2 linked regions of the Styela clava genome follow. The protein of the gene in region 2 purifies or fractionates together with the protein of the main gene of each other region. This does not show direct contact. Links are inferred from orthologs where the notes say so. Each region holds a gene or a part of one and is shown on either strand. Other genes may lie near its edges.

What was found. The genes of interacting proteins can lie anywhere in the genome.
Region 1: the proteins of glucose-6-phosphate 1-dehydrogenase-like (region 2) and heat shock protein beta-1-like fractionate together in Homo sapiens (co-fractionation; 3 studies listed by BioGRID and IntAct, with this or other methods). This does not show direct contact. The link is inferred for Styela clava from reciprocal best matches to the Homo sapiens genes G6PD and HSPB1.

What each region holds. Positions count from the first base shown.
Region 1 is NC_135252.1:17,838,519-17,845,513, reverse strand, and holds the start of heat shock protein beta-1-like, read left to right. Parts: upstream 1-3,948; 5' UTR 3,949-4,415; coding exon 4,416-4,526; intron 4,527-5,816; coding exon 5,817-6,005; intron 6,006-6,995. UniProt on the Homo sapiens protein: Small heat shock protein which functions as a molecular chaperone probably maintaining denatured proteins in a folding-competent state. Plays a role in stress resistance and actin organization.
Region 2 is NC_135258.1:19,449,582-19,456,932, forward strand, and holds the start of glucose-6-phosphate 1-dehydrogenase-like, read left to right. Parts: upstream 1-4,337; 5' UTR 4,338-4,530; intron 4,531-5,970; 5' UTR 5,971-6,005; coding exon 6,006-6,143; intron 6,144-7,351. UniProt on the Homo sapiens protein: Catalyzes the rate-limiting step of the oxidative pentose-phosphate pathway, which represents a route for the dissimilation of carbohydrates besides glycolysis.

The sequences.
Region 1 (6,995 bases), on a different chromosome or scaffold from region 2:
GTGCTTATGCGAATTCGTTATCGTTGTTAGAAAGATCTGGTATGAAATCCCGGAAAGTATATTTAATTTAGTATAATGAAAATATATAAAGTATATTAGTAAATCAAAAATACATATATATTCATTGCCCCGAAATCCCCGCAGTACGGCTTCTGAGTCAGTCGTCGAGTCTAGATTACGCCACTCGTAAAAAGAGCCGACTTTTATGTACGGTAATGGTTTTTCTGTTGAATAAAATATTCAATCCATGATCTATATTCATATTTAAAATGGTTACTCTATTTATGTAATTGTGATAAACTGAATCTGCGATTGCGTCGATAAAATAAAAGCACCACTTACCCAAAATACAACAGCAATCCGCGGACATAAAAATGTGTAGCAAAGTGCCCGATTACATTTGGTTCCGTATTCTTGCGCATTAGACCAATATGAGCTGTCCCCGCAACTCCCACTCTGCTCCATCGCAATGCTGCCACTCGATTAATTTTAAGATATCACCGTTCTAGAAATTCCTAAGTGTGCGATAAAATCCAACAGAGTAAAACTTATTTCAAGTCGGTAGTCTTAGAACACTACAGGCACGAGGAATTTATGAGATTTGCAATGTCTAAGAAAAAGAGTTTTTAAACTGTCATGGTCCACCCCAAAACAAAACTCACGGTGTTTACCGTTTCCTGATTCAGGGGGAATAAACACCGAAATAAATATTTGAACCGCCTAAATAACATGTCACGCTGACGAAAACAATCGGAGATTTAAACAAAATTCAATTGCAAACGTTATTAGCGACTTTATTTTCCAGCGGTCAAAGGCCGGGGAAAAGTTCACATGCCTAATACCTATCAAAAAATGAACTGCTTTTCTTTATGCTAAAAATGTACACAAACTCATTTGCACTCCTTCACAATTTTTAAACTGTATTTTTGAACCTGGTGGTTGTTCAAAGGTATTGGTAGTGAATTTTGGAGACGTCAGGCCAACCAAGAAATCTGTAATTGTTGTGTATTTTAAACAAAAATAATATAATCTCTTTCCACGAAATATCAAGTATATTTATGAGCGAATTATTCGCTATTTGATTAAGCCATATCTTGTTTTATCTGAAGAAGTTAGACTATGATCTAACGAAAGCTCATAAATATACTTGATATTTCGTGGAAAGAGATAATGTTATTTTTATTTATCTTCATAATACTATCTCAGTCACGCATCCTTGTGGCAACAGCCACATACGGATCCGGAATAGAAAGTAAACAAGGAGAAAGGACCTGTAGTTCAATACACAATACCCTAGTACACCCCATTTTTTAAACACACAGTAAATAATTTTTGCATTGTTCAATAGTGATGAAGTAAACAATTGATTGAAGTTTTACGTGTCTTGTTTAAAATATTATTTAGGCAGAAAATACATTAAAGCGCAAAAACCATACACTTATTGCTTGTTTAGTTTTACCTAAAACTTAGTTTGGCTGTACCAGGTATTGCAGACTGAGCGGGAAAAGGAGAATGTATTTGAGTATGGCTTTATACGTATACGACTGTGAATGGCGAAGTTGTACTCCGATGCGTTTTATGCCTAAACAATCTGAGCAATGACGCTATGAGACCAACACTTACAGCGCCATGGTAATATAAATTAACCTGCCCATTACAAAAGCATTTTTTCAAAGCAAAAAGGGGGGCGCGATGTCTGTAAAATGTTTCGAAGGGGGCGCGGCTCAAAAACTTTAAGAACCACTGGTGTAGGGTAATAGATACTCCTATAGATATACCATCAAAAGACTCTCGCTTAAACTGCTACTAGGTAGCTTGGAAGTTTTAGGGGTTTTTCGATTACGCCAATACTGCTATCAATTTTAAATACCCCAAAACCAATACATGACTTAGAATCTTAGATAAACTAATTGCATTATGTCCATCGCTAGCTCGATGCATATGGTTACAAAGCAAACTGTGTCGTCTCAATGTGTTCAGTATCTCCTTTGCAAACGACGAGCGATTTAATGTAAATTTAATAGCTCACCCTACTTGTCGACCGGGCAGAAAGATTTTTCAGCTGCACGTTTTTTCCTAATGGCCCATTTTCAAATTTATTTGAATGTATTGGGTTGGGATGAAAGGGTGGATTATAGGGCCTGTTAACCCCCTCGTCACAGGCATATTTATACCGATTGAAGAGAGAGAGAGATTTATTATTTGACAAATATTATTTGGAACAGAATCATTCGATGAATCAAGCCATCTCTACAGCAGCGGTATATAAGCCAAAAATATTATATAGTTATATAGTGGGACCGGTATGTTAGTCGTTGAGTGGGACCAACGACTAACATACCGTGGGACTTACCGGCATTTATTTGTATTACTTTATTAGTTGTGCTGTTATAGTATTTAGTAGAATAAGTAGATCATATAACTCAGAAATTTGGCGAGTCCAGTTTAAAATAGTTTATTGCTCGGTTTGCCCCTTAAAAGAAATTTCCTTTCAAATTTTCGTATTGCGCTATTTAGAAACTGTATTGCGATGTAGAATATGGAGGATATTGATTGCCGGACTTTAATTTTGTACCGGACAACTTCAGTTTTTCTTCTTTGTGGCAACTGACTCCGATGACCCCTAAAGGTCATATCGTATCTCTTCAGTCATGTACCGAAAGCATCTGTTTATTTGATAGTTTTATATACTATAGGGCAACAAAGATTCGACCCTATCTGCGTGTCCACACACCCGTGTTATTGAACACACGTTAACAGAGTGTAACTCCGATCTTGACTCCTTCAGAGGTCAAAAAGCACACAATGTATTGAATGCCAAATGTTATATTGTAAAGTTGCACAATCGAATTGATCCAAATAACGAATTACACTTGAAACCCCTAAAGCAAGTATATGTGATGAAACCAAATTTCTAACTAACAAATAACGGCAAAGACAAGCTACACTGAGTGAGAGAAATATATCATAAAGGAAATGAATTGGGACAACGACCTTGTTTCAGGCAAATAACATGCACTACTAACAATAAGTGGTGAAAATATTAAAATACACAGTAACTATCCTTATGTACTTGCTACAATACCGGTGTGTGAAATATTTCAATTATTTTAGGTGAGTGAACACGTACCACATCTTCTTGGCAAAACCTTCCATCTTATATACATTCTGTACGTTTTAAACCTTATCTAAGGCTTTGTTCGCTCTCCTGATTTCATAATCAGTTTTTATTTATTTTTAGCATTCATTTTATTGTTTTGCTGATTATGGAGTCGAAATAAACTTATACTTATTATACTTATATATGTATGTTGTTTCTTGGTTTGGCAAAATGAAATAAACTCTCTCTCTTTCCAATATGGCACGAAGGAAAAGCAGATTTAGCAACCAATTTCTTACATTACTATGATACGTTGGCTTGATTAGATTTTATCCGGCGGTATTATCTTCTACTCGAACCAAAGGTCGCCAACAAGACTTGAAGTCGTATAACAACAAATTGATCTATAATAAGTCCTTGGTGGTATTTGATATCCTTGTTATTAGCACCTTCGATCTAGTAATGCTCAATTGAAAACAAGTACTACTCCGGAATGCACCCGGTTGGCACTTCGATCATTTCTTGAAGTCGCCAGATGTGGGCAACATTTGTCCCGCATTCCGAAGCGATAAAGTTATCTTCTGCCCAATCTTGGCGGAGTAATACAGTATGCGATAGCACATACTCCAAAGATAGAGTCACGGCTTTAATTAAGGAAACAAGCGCATACAAGGTGACAGCTGCGAATGCCCTCGACAAAATGCCGTCACAAGTCGAACATCGTCTCTGCGACATGTCAAATACGCGACAGACGAGTGATTGCCAACTCCCAAATTGGGATAAAAGAGCGATGGAATCTTCCCCCGCTTTAGAATATAAGATGAAATAGCGCAAGAAACTCATACCTGTGAATAAGTTTACAAATTTCACCTCAGCTACATACTGCCAGACAAAGTGTATGGAAGCGAGTTATTACGATCGGGATATTCAGGAAAGATAATATTAATGACCAGTTTTTAAGTTTGATCTTTGAATAGTGGAACGCGCAACGAATAAGTAAACCAGATGTAGATGAGGCAATGGGACTATTTTGGGATCAAGTAAAGGGGGTGCTGGATCGATAAAATGCCGCTCTAGCTTCTGTATCCAGTAATTGGGATAGTGGGGCTTAGTGTAAAAATTTATTATTCCGCAGATCGAATATAATGTGTACGCTTATGAAAACAGTACGAACTTATTCAGCTAGTGACTACATGGAACTGGTCAGGAATCATAAATGAGAAATTCGTGGAATTGCGCTATATTCAGGGCAGGATGTCCTCGGCATCTTCATAATGTCCATTTTTATTAGTAGGTTGTTTATAAATAAATAACGATGGCTGAAAGACAAAGAACAGAACGTCGAATTCATATAACACCATACAGACCAACCCCGTGGGAACCGTTTCAAGACTGGACGTTTCCCGCTACAACTATTTGGGACCAAGTGAGTCTTACTTTTTAGTATTTAATTTTCTATGCAGTACGTGTTGAAGATAACGACTTTACAATAAATTTTTGTATTGAGACAGGTTCATTTTTATACTCTAAGTCTAATAGATCACAAAAAATAAATTTCTTGAAATATTTTTCAAATTATTTTTGAATGTCAGACAATTACATAAAATTGTCTCTGTATAATCCCGGATAATATTCAATAAAATCTATATTATATATTCTGGACTTTTTCACATTAGTCACAAATCACTTTTCTATTTCGGATATAATGGGTTGAAAAACTCATCCTTATCTTTTGCCCAGAGAACGGATTGCAACTGTTAATTAATTATTAGTAAATAATCAAATTTTATATTATCCTTAGTACTTATTTTGTGCTATGTTTGCTGCTTATATCTGTATATTGTTGCATGTGTTGCTATTCTCGTTCTTTTCATATTTTATGCATGTTGAATGTAACTACTACGTTTGAGATTTCGAAGAGGAGTTTTTTATTAACATCATTATTTCACTATTTTAAATCATGACACGTTTCTGTAAAATGCCAACCGATACAGACGTCAGTACTTCAGTCAGAAGTATGCCAGACGAATTCTTCGCAGGTTGGATTCATAGGCCACAGCACTGTTGAAAAGATGTGGTGGTAGCCGAAAAGTCTAATGTGATTATATCCAGTAACTTAGGATGTTACGATTGGAGAATAGTTTTGAAATAAATTTATGATTTATATACGGTATAAATATGCAGTCTTTTCTTAAAAGGCCATTTAAATGGCGATTTGGACCATAACTTGAGATACGTTATTCTGTATTTTGCTTATATGCAAATTTAAAATGATACGGATAAATGGCATAGGACACCATTGGTACGAGGAATTCGTAGTAGAGCCTTTTTATTAATTTTATTATTCAACTCACTTTGACTCTTCACTGCTCTCGGTACATGTATCACCAATTGCAAATATAATTTTATCTTCTGCTGCCGCTATGTGATCACTGAACACTCACAGATTATATTTATTGGGCAAGGCACAAGTCAGCAAAGATCTTCAATCTAAATTATTAAATCTCATAAGCTTGATTATCACACATTAAGCATTATGATGATACACTCCAATGTCATGCTCGATTCATGTTTTCTGCGCTGACTTCACAAGTCAACTACGGTACGTCATCAGTTTTCTTTCACGGTTACCATCCAGTCACGCACGCCTTTACCAGTTTTTCGTCGACTTCACTTAGTTCGCTTGAATATAACCAGACATGCACTTTGAATACAGGATTTTGGCGGAATGCCAATGACTAACAGTGTGCGAAGTGAGCATCGTCAGAGATTGGTCCGAGGTGGGGGTGATCCATGGGCTTCTTCGGCGACTGCTTCCGTTCCGTATGTTGTCAGATCTCCGGCTGCCGTCCAACCTACTGCTCCGCAACTTGTCAACCGACAGAATAGTGGTGGAGTTTCTCAAGTAAGGCGATTCTAGGATATAGGTTTTTACGCATCTGCTGCGAAGAGTCGATTACTAAATATGATCAATGATAATTGTGCGAATAGATGGGCGAATTTTTGTCTAATATAATATTTTGGATCTTTCATACAAAGCACCACTAATGCAAAAATGTGAGATTTGAGAAAACACCCATTCACGTTTTTTAAAACAACAAATTAGTAAATATCCAGTTGGGGTTAGGGTCGGAAATGATTTGAATTGACAGCGCAATCTGTATCCCTATCCCTAACTGAATATTTATTAATTCTCTTATTTGGAGCGCTGGCGAGGGTGTATTTTTTATGGCGGGTGCTTTGTAAAAAATGTCTTTATATTTTTATAATGTCATGTTATTTGGTAAGTGTTTACTAAATATTTATGCTAGATTGCATGAGATCTGTCTTGATTTTAGAATGGTATACAGGGTTTCCGCATTGTTGCATAAACGTGTTGTCTAATGGATTGTTTGGCTTGAGTTTGAATTATGAAAGATTTTGGGTTCTATTGAAGTATGGCTACCAAGATGGCGGACACCGAAACGTAGTATGTGTACCAGGTTAAGGTTAGGCCATAATTTAATTCCAATTTTCCTTATTTTAGTTCTATTACGAGTTCGGGGACTAGATAAGTTGTACCTGAAATTATTGCCTAACCCTAACCTGGTACACATACTACGTTCCGGTGTCCGCCATCTTGATACGCATACCTCAGAAGTACCAGATTTTGTAATGTTTAACCGGAAGCCCGCAACGCGGCATAATCATAGGATGAACCAAGAACTTCCCCCTGCTGGCAGTCGAGGTCGGTTATTTGATAATCAAGTGAGCCGTTTTGCGAAACGCCGAGGAATCCAGCAATCTTCCACATAACTAACCATCTCCCAAGAGGGCCCAGTTTGTGAATCCGCGTATGGTAGTCTGCGATGCGATATATATAAAGCGGATTCCTTACTCTTAACACAATGCCAAG
Region 2 (7,351 bases):
TGAAATACCACAGTCACATATTCTGGGGTGGGACTGCGGGAACCAATGCTGTTACTGTTGCAGCACTGTTTAAGATGTTACAATAGAATTGTTTCCTGCGCTTATTTTCACAATTGAGTTGCATCAAATTGCTTCAGTCCTAAGGGGATGGTTGGTCAATACCGAATAGTTCACTATTTCGAATACATTCGAAAATAAAATAATTGAGGCTTATCTATAGTAGCCTATATAAAGGAATTTGCATACAATAAACAATGGAATAACTGTCATCAACAACATGTTGTCTACCATGCATTTCATGTTTGCAGATTACTGCTATATATTTTCATATACCATGAGTTACGTTATCAGAATCAAATTAATACGGCAAGCATTTAAAATAGTGCTATCGGTCATGGATTTGAACATTTTGCGCAACACAAAATCATCCTAAAAAGTTTGAATACCAACCATTATCCAAATTATTTGCCAAAAAGCGGTATAAAGTATAAATTATATTTCTGATTTGCGACAATTTTTTCGTGAGTACGTAAACACGAATGAAAAATTAATTATATTCGGGCACTTCAATGTCCGCATATATATCTTTTATTATTTTATAAATACGAAAATATGAATCAAAAACTAATTATAATCGGGCAGTTTACCACACATTTTCAAGTCCATGGATCGCCGTTGTATTTTGTATATACGAAAATAGGAATCAAAAAATAAATAACAATCGCGCAGTTGGCCACACATCTATGTACATAGATTGCCGTGGTATTGTGCCCGAATATAATTAATTTTTGATTCCGTATTCCATTCCTTAAACTTAATATCTGTTTTTAAAATTTTGCAAGCAGTTCACGCACGAAGACTTGAAATAATGATGTATTAGTCAAATTGAAGTCCTGTTAGACCACTGTTTCTTAACCAATGTGCCATGGCCCACTGGTAAGCCTCAGAGCCATTTTGAGGCGGGCCACAAACATATTATAAATTACAAGATTTGTTGATTGGAAAAATTGATTTGATAACAAAATCAGCTTCACGCGTCTTGAAAAACAAGATATCTATTTGCAAAACATGCCTCGCCGTAACCCACCCATTGTGGCGCAACAAATCCATTATACGGCAGTAACAGCTAGAAATGAGTATATATATATAGCAATTTGCTTGCACATTACATCAAAATTAAAAACAATATAACGAGAATGTCATGGCCTTCAATATTCGCCAGGCTCGAACTGAGAATACCATATAAAAAATTAACATAAAACGAATCCACGAGGACATTGTCTCATAAATATTAAACTAATATAATAAATTTTCTTCACTATCCGTCGGAAGAAATTTCATCCACTTCGTCTTTTTAGTTTTCAGCTTTATAGTGACTTCAACCACATCAACACCCGTCGGAAGAAATTTCATCCACTTCTTCCTTTTAGTGTTCAGCTTTTTAGTGACTTCAACCACATCAACACCCGTCGGGAGAAATTTCATCCACTTCTTCCTTTTAGTGTTCAGCTTTTTAGTGACTTCAACCACATCAACACCCGTCGGGAGAAATTTCATCCACTTCTTCCTTTTAGTGTTCAGCTTTTTAGTGACCTCGGCCACCTCACCACCCGTCGGAAGAAATATCATCCACTTCTTCCTTTCAGTGTTCAGCTTTTTAGTGACTTCAACCACATCAACACCCGTCGGGAGAAATTTCATCCACTTCTTCCTTTTAGTGTTCAGCTTTTTAGTGACTTCAACCACATCAACACCCGTCGGGAGAAATTTCATCCACTTCTTCCTTTTAGTGTTCAGCTTTTTAGTGACTTCAACCACATCAACACCCGTCGGGAGAAATTTCCTCCACTTCTTCCTTTTAGTGTTCAGCTTTTTAGTGACCTCGGCAACCTCACCACCCGTCGGAAGAAATATCATCCACTTCTTCCTTTCAGTGTTCAGCTTTTTGTTGACTTCAACCACATCAACACCCGTCGGGAGAAATTTCATCCACTTCTTCCTTTCAGTGTTCAGCTTTTTAGTGACTTCAAGCACATCAACACCCGTCGGAAGAAATTTCATCCACTTCTTCCTTTCAGTGTTCAGCTTTTTAGTGACTTCAACCACATCAACACCCGTCGGGAGAAATTTCATCCCCTTCTTCCTTTTAGTGTTCAGCTTTTTAGTGACCTCGGCCACCTCACCACTCGTCGGAAGAAATATCATCCACTTCTTCCTTTCAGTGTTCAGCTTTTTAGTGACTTCAACCACATCAACACCCGTCGGGAGAAATTTCATCCACTTCTACCTTTTAGTGTTCAGCTTTTTAGTGACCTCAGCCACCTCACCACCTGTAGTAGAAAAATTTCATCCACTTCTTCCTTTTAGTGTTCAGCTTTTTAGTGACTTCAACCACATCAACACCCGTCGGGAGAAATTTCATCCACTTCTTCCTTTTAGTGTTCAGCTTTTTAGTGACTTCAACCACATCAACACCCGTCGGGAGAAATTTCCTCCACTTCTTCCTTTTAGTGTTCAGCTTTTTAGTGACCTCGGCAACCTCACCACCCGTCGGAAGAAATATCATCCACTTCTTCCTTTCAGTGTTCAGCTTTTTAGTGACTTCAACCACATCAACACCCGTCGGGAGAAATTTCATCCACTTCTTCCTTTTAGTGTTCAGCTTTTTAGTGACTTCAACCACATCAACACCCGTCGGAAGAAATTTCATCCACTTCTTCCTTTCAGTGTTCAGCTTTTTAGTGACTTCAACTATCTCATTATTCGTCGGAAGAAATTTCATCCACTTCTTCCTTTTAGTGTTCATCTTTTTAGTGACTTCAACCGCTTCAACCACCTCATTATTCGTCGGAAGAAATTTCATCCACTTCTTCCTTTTAGTGTTCAGCTTTTTAGTGGTTTCAGCCACCTCGGAAGAAATTTCTTCCACTTCTTCGTTTTAGTGTTCAGCCTTTTAGTGTTTTTCAATTTTTCACCTTTGGGAACACATCAACTTCCGTTTTTCCGCCACTTCATCCGTTTCTTCCTTCAGCCTTTTAGTGTTGTCCCTGTTTTGTGCAGCTGCTGCAGACGCCGTTACATCTGTACATACGTCAGTACGTAGACAGAGCAGAATTTGGACCCGTCGACACTTTAACATTAATGTCTAACATCAGAACTTCCAGACTTCGGCGATGTCCGAATAATTTTGTAATAAATTAACAGAGTACCGGTATTGCTATTTGCTGTCAGTACTGCTGTACTGCTGCAGTAAGGATAATTTTTGAAAATTAGATTCAGTAGATTGGAAAATTTAGAAACCTGTTAATTATTATTTTTTATTCAAGACTGTAAATATAAAAATTCCCCATTCTGCAGTTATGCCATTTCACCATTTGCAGGTTTGTGCTGTGCATTGCTTATGTCAGTATGTTAAGATTTTTCCGGTAAATAATTTTATTATGATTACGGGATTATTTGAGATTTAAACCATATTTCAAATATATTCTTGCAATATCAGGTCACCATATTTATGGCTGTACGCATCGGAATTTAATTTCATGCACAGCATACGATACAGTTGCCATTTTTAAAGATTTATATGAAAGTTTGCTCAAAGCAAGGCCATGACAGCTTGAGTAGAGTGATAAGTTTCAGAACGTCAAATCAATTTTTTAAAACTCACCTACATCCTACCTACTGAAATAAATAAACCAAAAAACAAGGGACAATCCTGCAATCGCAAAATAAAGATGGTTTGGAACTGTACAACATTGATTAAAGCATCCCTTCTAAAGCAAGTTGGATCAATCCTATCGCCTTGGCATATGTAATCTTCCGATCTTGGGTTTATTACCTTGATATGGGTTAAAATTACTATTTAGAGGGATGCTCCACTGTTTTTTAAGCAATTTCTTGCCAATTGAATTGTTTGAAACGAATATGTTCTGAGTTCTCGTATAGTATCATTTTTATAACATTATTAGTTACGGTAGGTATTTCTGAATATTTTGGGTACTGATATAGCCAACAAATTTGTGTAATATCAGAATTTCGCATGCTGTCGATTTCGAGGGTCAATTTGTGATGAAAATGCTTACTGCACAATGTTTAATTTATGTGGCATGATACTATCAGAGGTTTGTTCTTTAATAGAGGCTTCCGATGCAGCCATTTCATGCATATTTCATAATTCTAACTATGTGCATTGATTAGTATATATATATTTTTTTATATTATTCTTATCATTCAACTTAACAAAATGGTGGTATATCAAACATGACACTGTGTAACATAATTTTTGTTCCTGGCTTGTAATTGGTTACACCCAAAACTGAAAAAAATGCAATTTTTTTTAATTTTGAGATAGATACCTAGGACCTCAAATAGCATTCAAAAAAGAATATATAGAATGTGACAGAAGCAACATCAATCCTTTCTGAAAAAGAATGTCTGTCTTGATGACATATTCAATGCACAGTGATCTCGACAAATCTGGCGAATTTCACTGTTTTCAGATGAAAGGTCTACATAGAACTGAATTTATCAGCGGTAAATGCGACATAAATTGGGACCCTACAACTGGTCACTTCACAACTAAATTTTGATGTCAATGTTGCATTTGAAAATTGCCCTTTTGACACACACCTATCGTGGCATAATTGGATTTTAAATGTTTCTTACCAATGACAGTATAATGAGCAAAGGATGGGTGACTACATATGGGGACTTAGTTGTGGAATAGTGGTGTGGTGTCTGGCAAAAAAAAACATTTTTCTGGTTACCAAACAGTCGTTTAACATGTGCTTGTGTTATTTTTTTCAAGATTTCTAACATAGAATTCCAGAAATACATCTTTGAAATATCAAAACACTGAAATATAGCACCATTTGTGCAGTTTTATATCACCCACAAAAACCTGATTTTGTTGAAATCGCCCCATTTTCACAAAACCAAAAGTCTGTACTGTACATATTAAATGCTAGCAGGAAATCCAGGTAAAAAGCTGGGAACAAAAAATTGTTACGCAGTGTAGGCCCCATCAAATCAAAACTTCTGATTAAAAGCCTTTTCTTCAGAAAAAATTTGACTCCATAGCGTGGCTGTATATCGCCCTTCCCCAATTGATAGGATAGGATTACATATTTATTCCGAGGGGGAGGAAAGCCGATTAGAAGGCTTAATCATATGGCAAAACACGGCCTCTGGTCCGGTTACCAGTTCATGTCGAGTTTGGGATTAGTTAGCCAGTTGAGTTGTTTTTAGATGCATTGACTTGATCGTGGAGGAAGCCTAGCCGAGCAGCGGTTTCGGGAACCGCCCTATGGCAGCGAGAAGCCCAGTAATCCTTTTGCACTCGCATGGGATTCGATTATCAAAAACGCATTCTGATAGTGCCCAAAATTTTTAAAGTAAAATACTATCTAGGGCAGGGGTGGGCAAATTACGGCTCGCATGCCGGATGACCATACTTTTATACACATAAATTTTCATTGAAAATATTGATGAAAATCGCACATGATGACCTTGATTGTTAGTTGTTACGTCGTGCTTCATATTGTTATATAAATGTTGGACTAGCTTTTGTAAATAAAATGTTATTTATTCATAGTTTTTCATATTGAGTTTTATGCATCCAGCCCACTAACCTATTAATTCTAGTTTTTGTATCTAGCCCTTCAGGATAGTAATTGCTCACCCTTGATCTAGCTAGGGGGTCTAGTCCCGTTTAACAAGTGTTTTTATTCGAATATTTATGCAGAATGCAGTGTTTTGCTAAATTCTACTTTTTTGAAAACGACTAATATGTCGTAAGCACCACCCGATTGCGTATGATCCAGTACACCAATGTAAGAAAAATGTTCATACTAAAAATCGCTGTGTGTCGCCCTCGAGTAGTCAGGAATTTGGGACGCGAGATGCTCGCAATACATATACGTGCTTTGTTTATATATTTTACATGATTTCGCTTTTTCATTGATCTCTTCCCAGACTATTTAAACTGTGACTAAACAGAAACCAGCACAATGTCAGAAGAGCTAGACACGTTAGGAGTTCTACCGGAGATTGATAGTGAAGGCAACCTGATGAAGCGGTTCAAGAGAGCCCTCTCCATGGAGATCATGCTTGGCCAAGCGCATATCTTCGTAGTTCTTGGAGCTTCGGTACAGATGTTAATTTTTTTATATATTTTCGCAAAAACTAACGACTTATTTTGTTCATTGACGCACTGTTCCTGCGCGTTCGCCCGAGATAATTACATTTCACTGGAATTTGCGTCATGGCGAAATTTTACCATGACACATAAGTATTGGATATCGATGTTATTGTATACGTTGCAGTCAAAGTTAAAATGTATGTTTTTGGCGAATCATCATGCTAAAGTTTATGGTGTTAAAATTGGCATCACGATCATTTCCCGTTATGAATCAATGCAATAGTAATCGAACACAAAGGAAATGAGAATGTCAGAAATAATGGTCTAGCTAGCTTACTGCGACGCTCGGTTGCAATAGTCTTTCATTTTCTTTACCTCATATATTGCATTGGTAGCTACTTAATGTTCAGCGAATTTCGCAATAGTCTTACTATAACTATTAATCACTTGAAATGATATGGATCGAACAAAGCCTGAATATACCTAAACAAATAATAACGGATTTTTTGGATAACTCAATTTCACACAAGGCTGGGTAGGTTATTTAAACCTGGGGTATTTGCGAAATCGGCTTATGACAAATTACCGTGGGCTATTACAGAGTCGTTCTCCGTATCTGGAAATATTATCTCACCTAATTCTTGCCTGGATATCCTCTATTCAATATATGATCAGGTAATTCGTTATGAGCCGAAAATATACTCAAAATTTGTCATTGTTTCGAAATTCATTTTCAATTTGTATTCAACTTATTAAAATATTGTTGAATGGGAGTTCTATTCTAAGGTCCGACAAGACCTGCAGCCGCTTTAGAAAATAACCGAAATAATGGCGAAAAGGGGAAAGTTGGCGAATGGTGAAATACTATTTCCGTTATATCGTGTAAAGCCAGTATGTAGAAGTTATACATAATAGCGGTGTAAGGCTTACACACGTTTTTTGCCAGTCATTTCTCATACACTTAGTCTAAGATATATATGGCATGCTAATGTTTGGTACGACGATTTGAACAAATATCAAATTTCCCGAAAGTATACGCCCCACGCATGAGATAGCTATAATAATCGCTTCTATATAATTGTTAAAATTAATCTTTTTGTGTGACGTGTAATTCGAGGAGACCCAGGGACAGTCTTAATAAAATATTGCTCTTATGTTGTTGAAATTGAATCCCGATAGAAGTTCGCGATTTTTTTTACCTATGTCAAGCTTGTT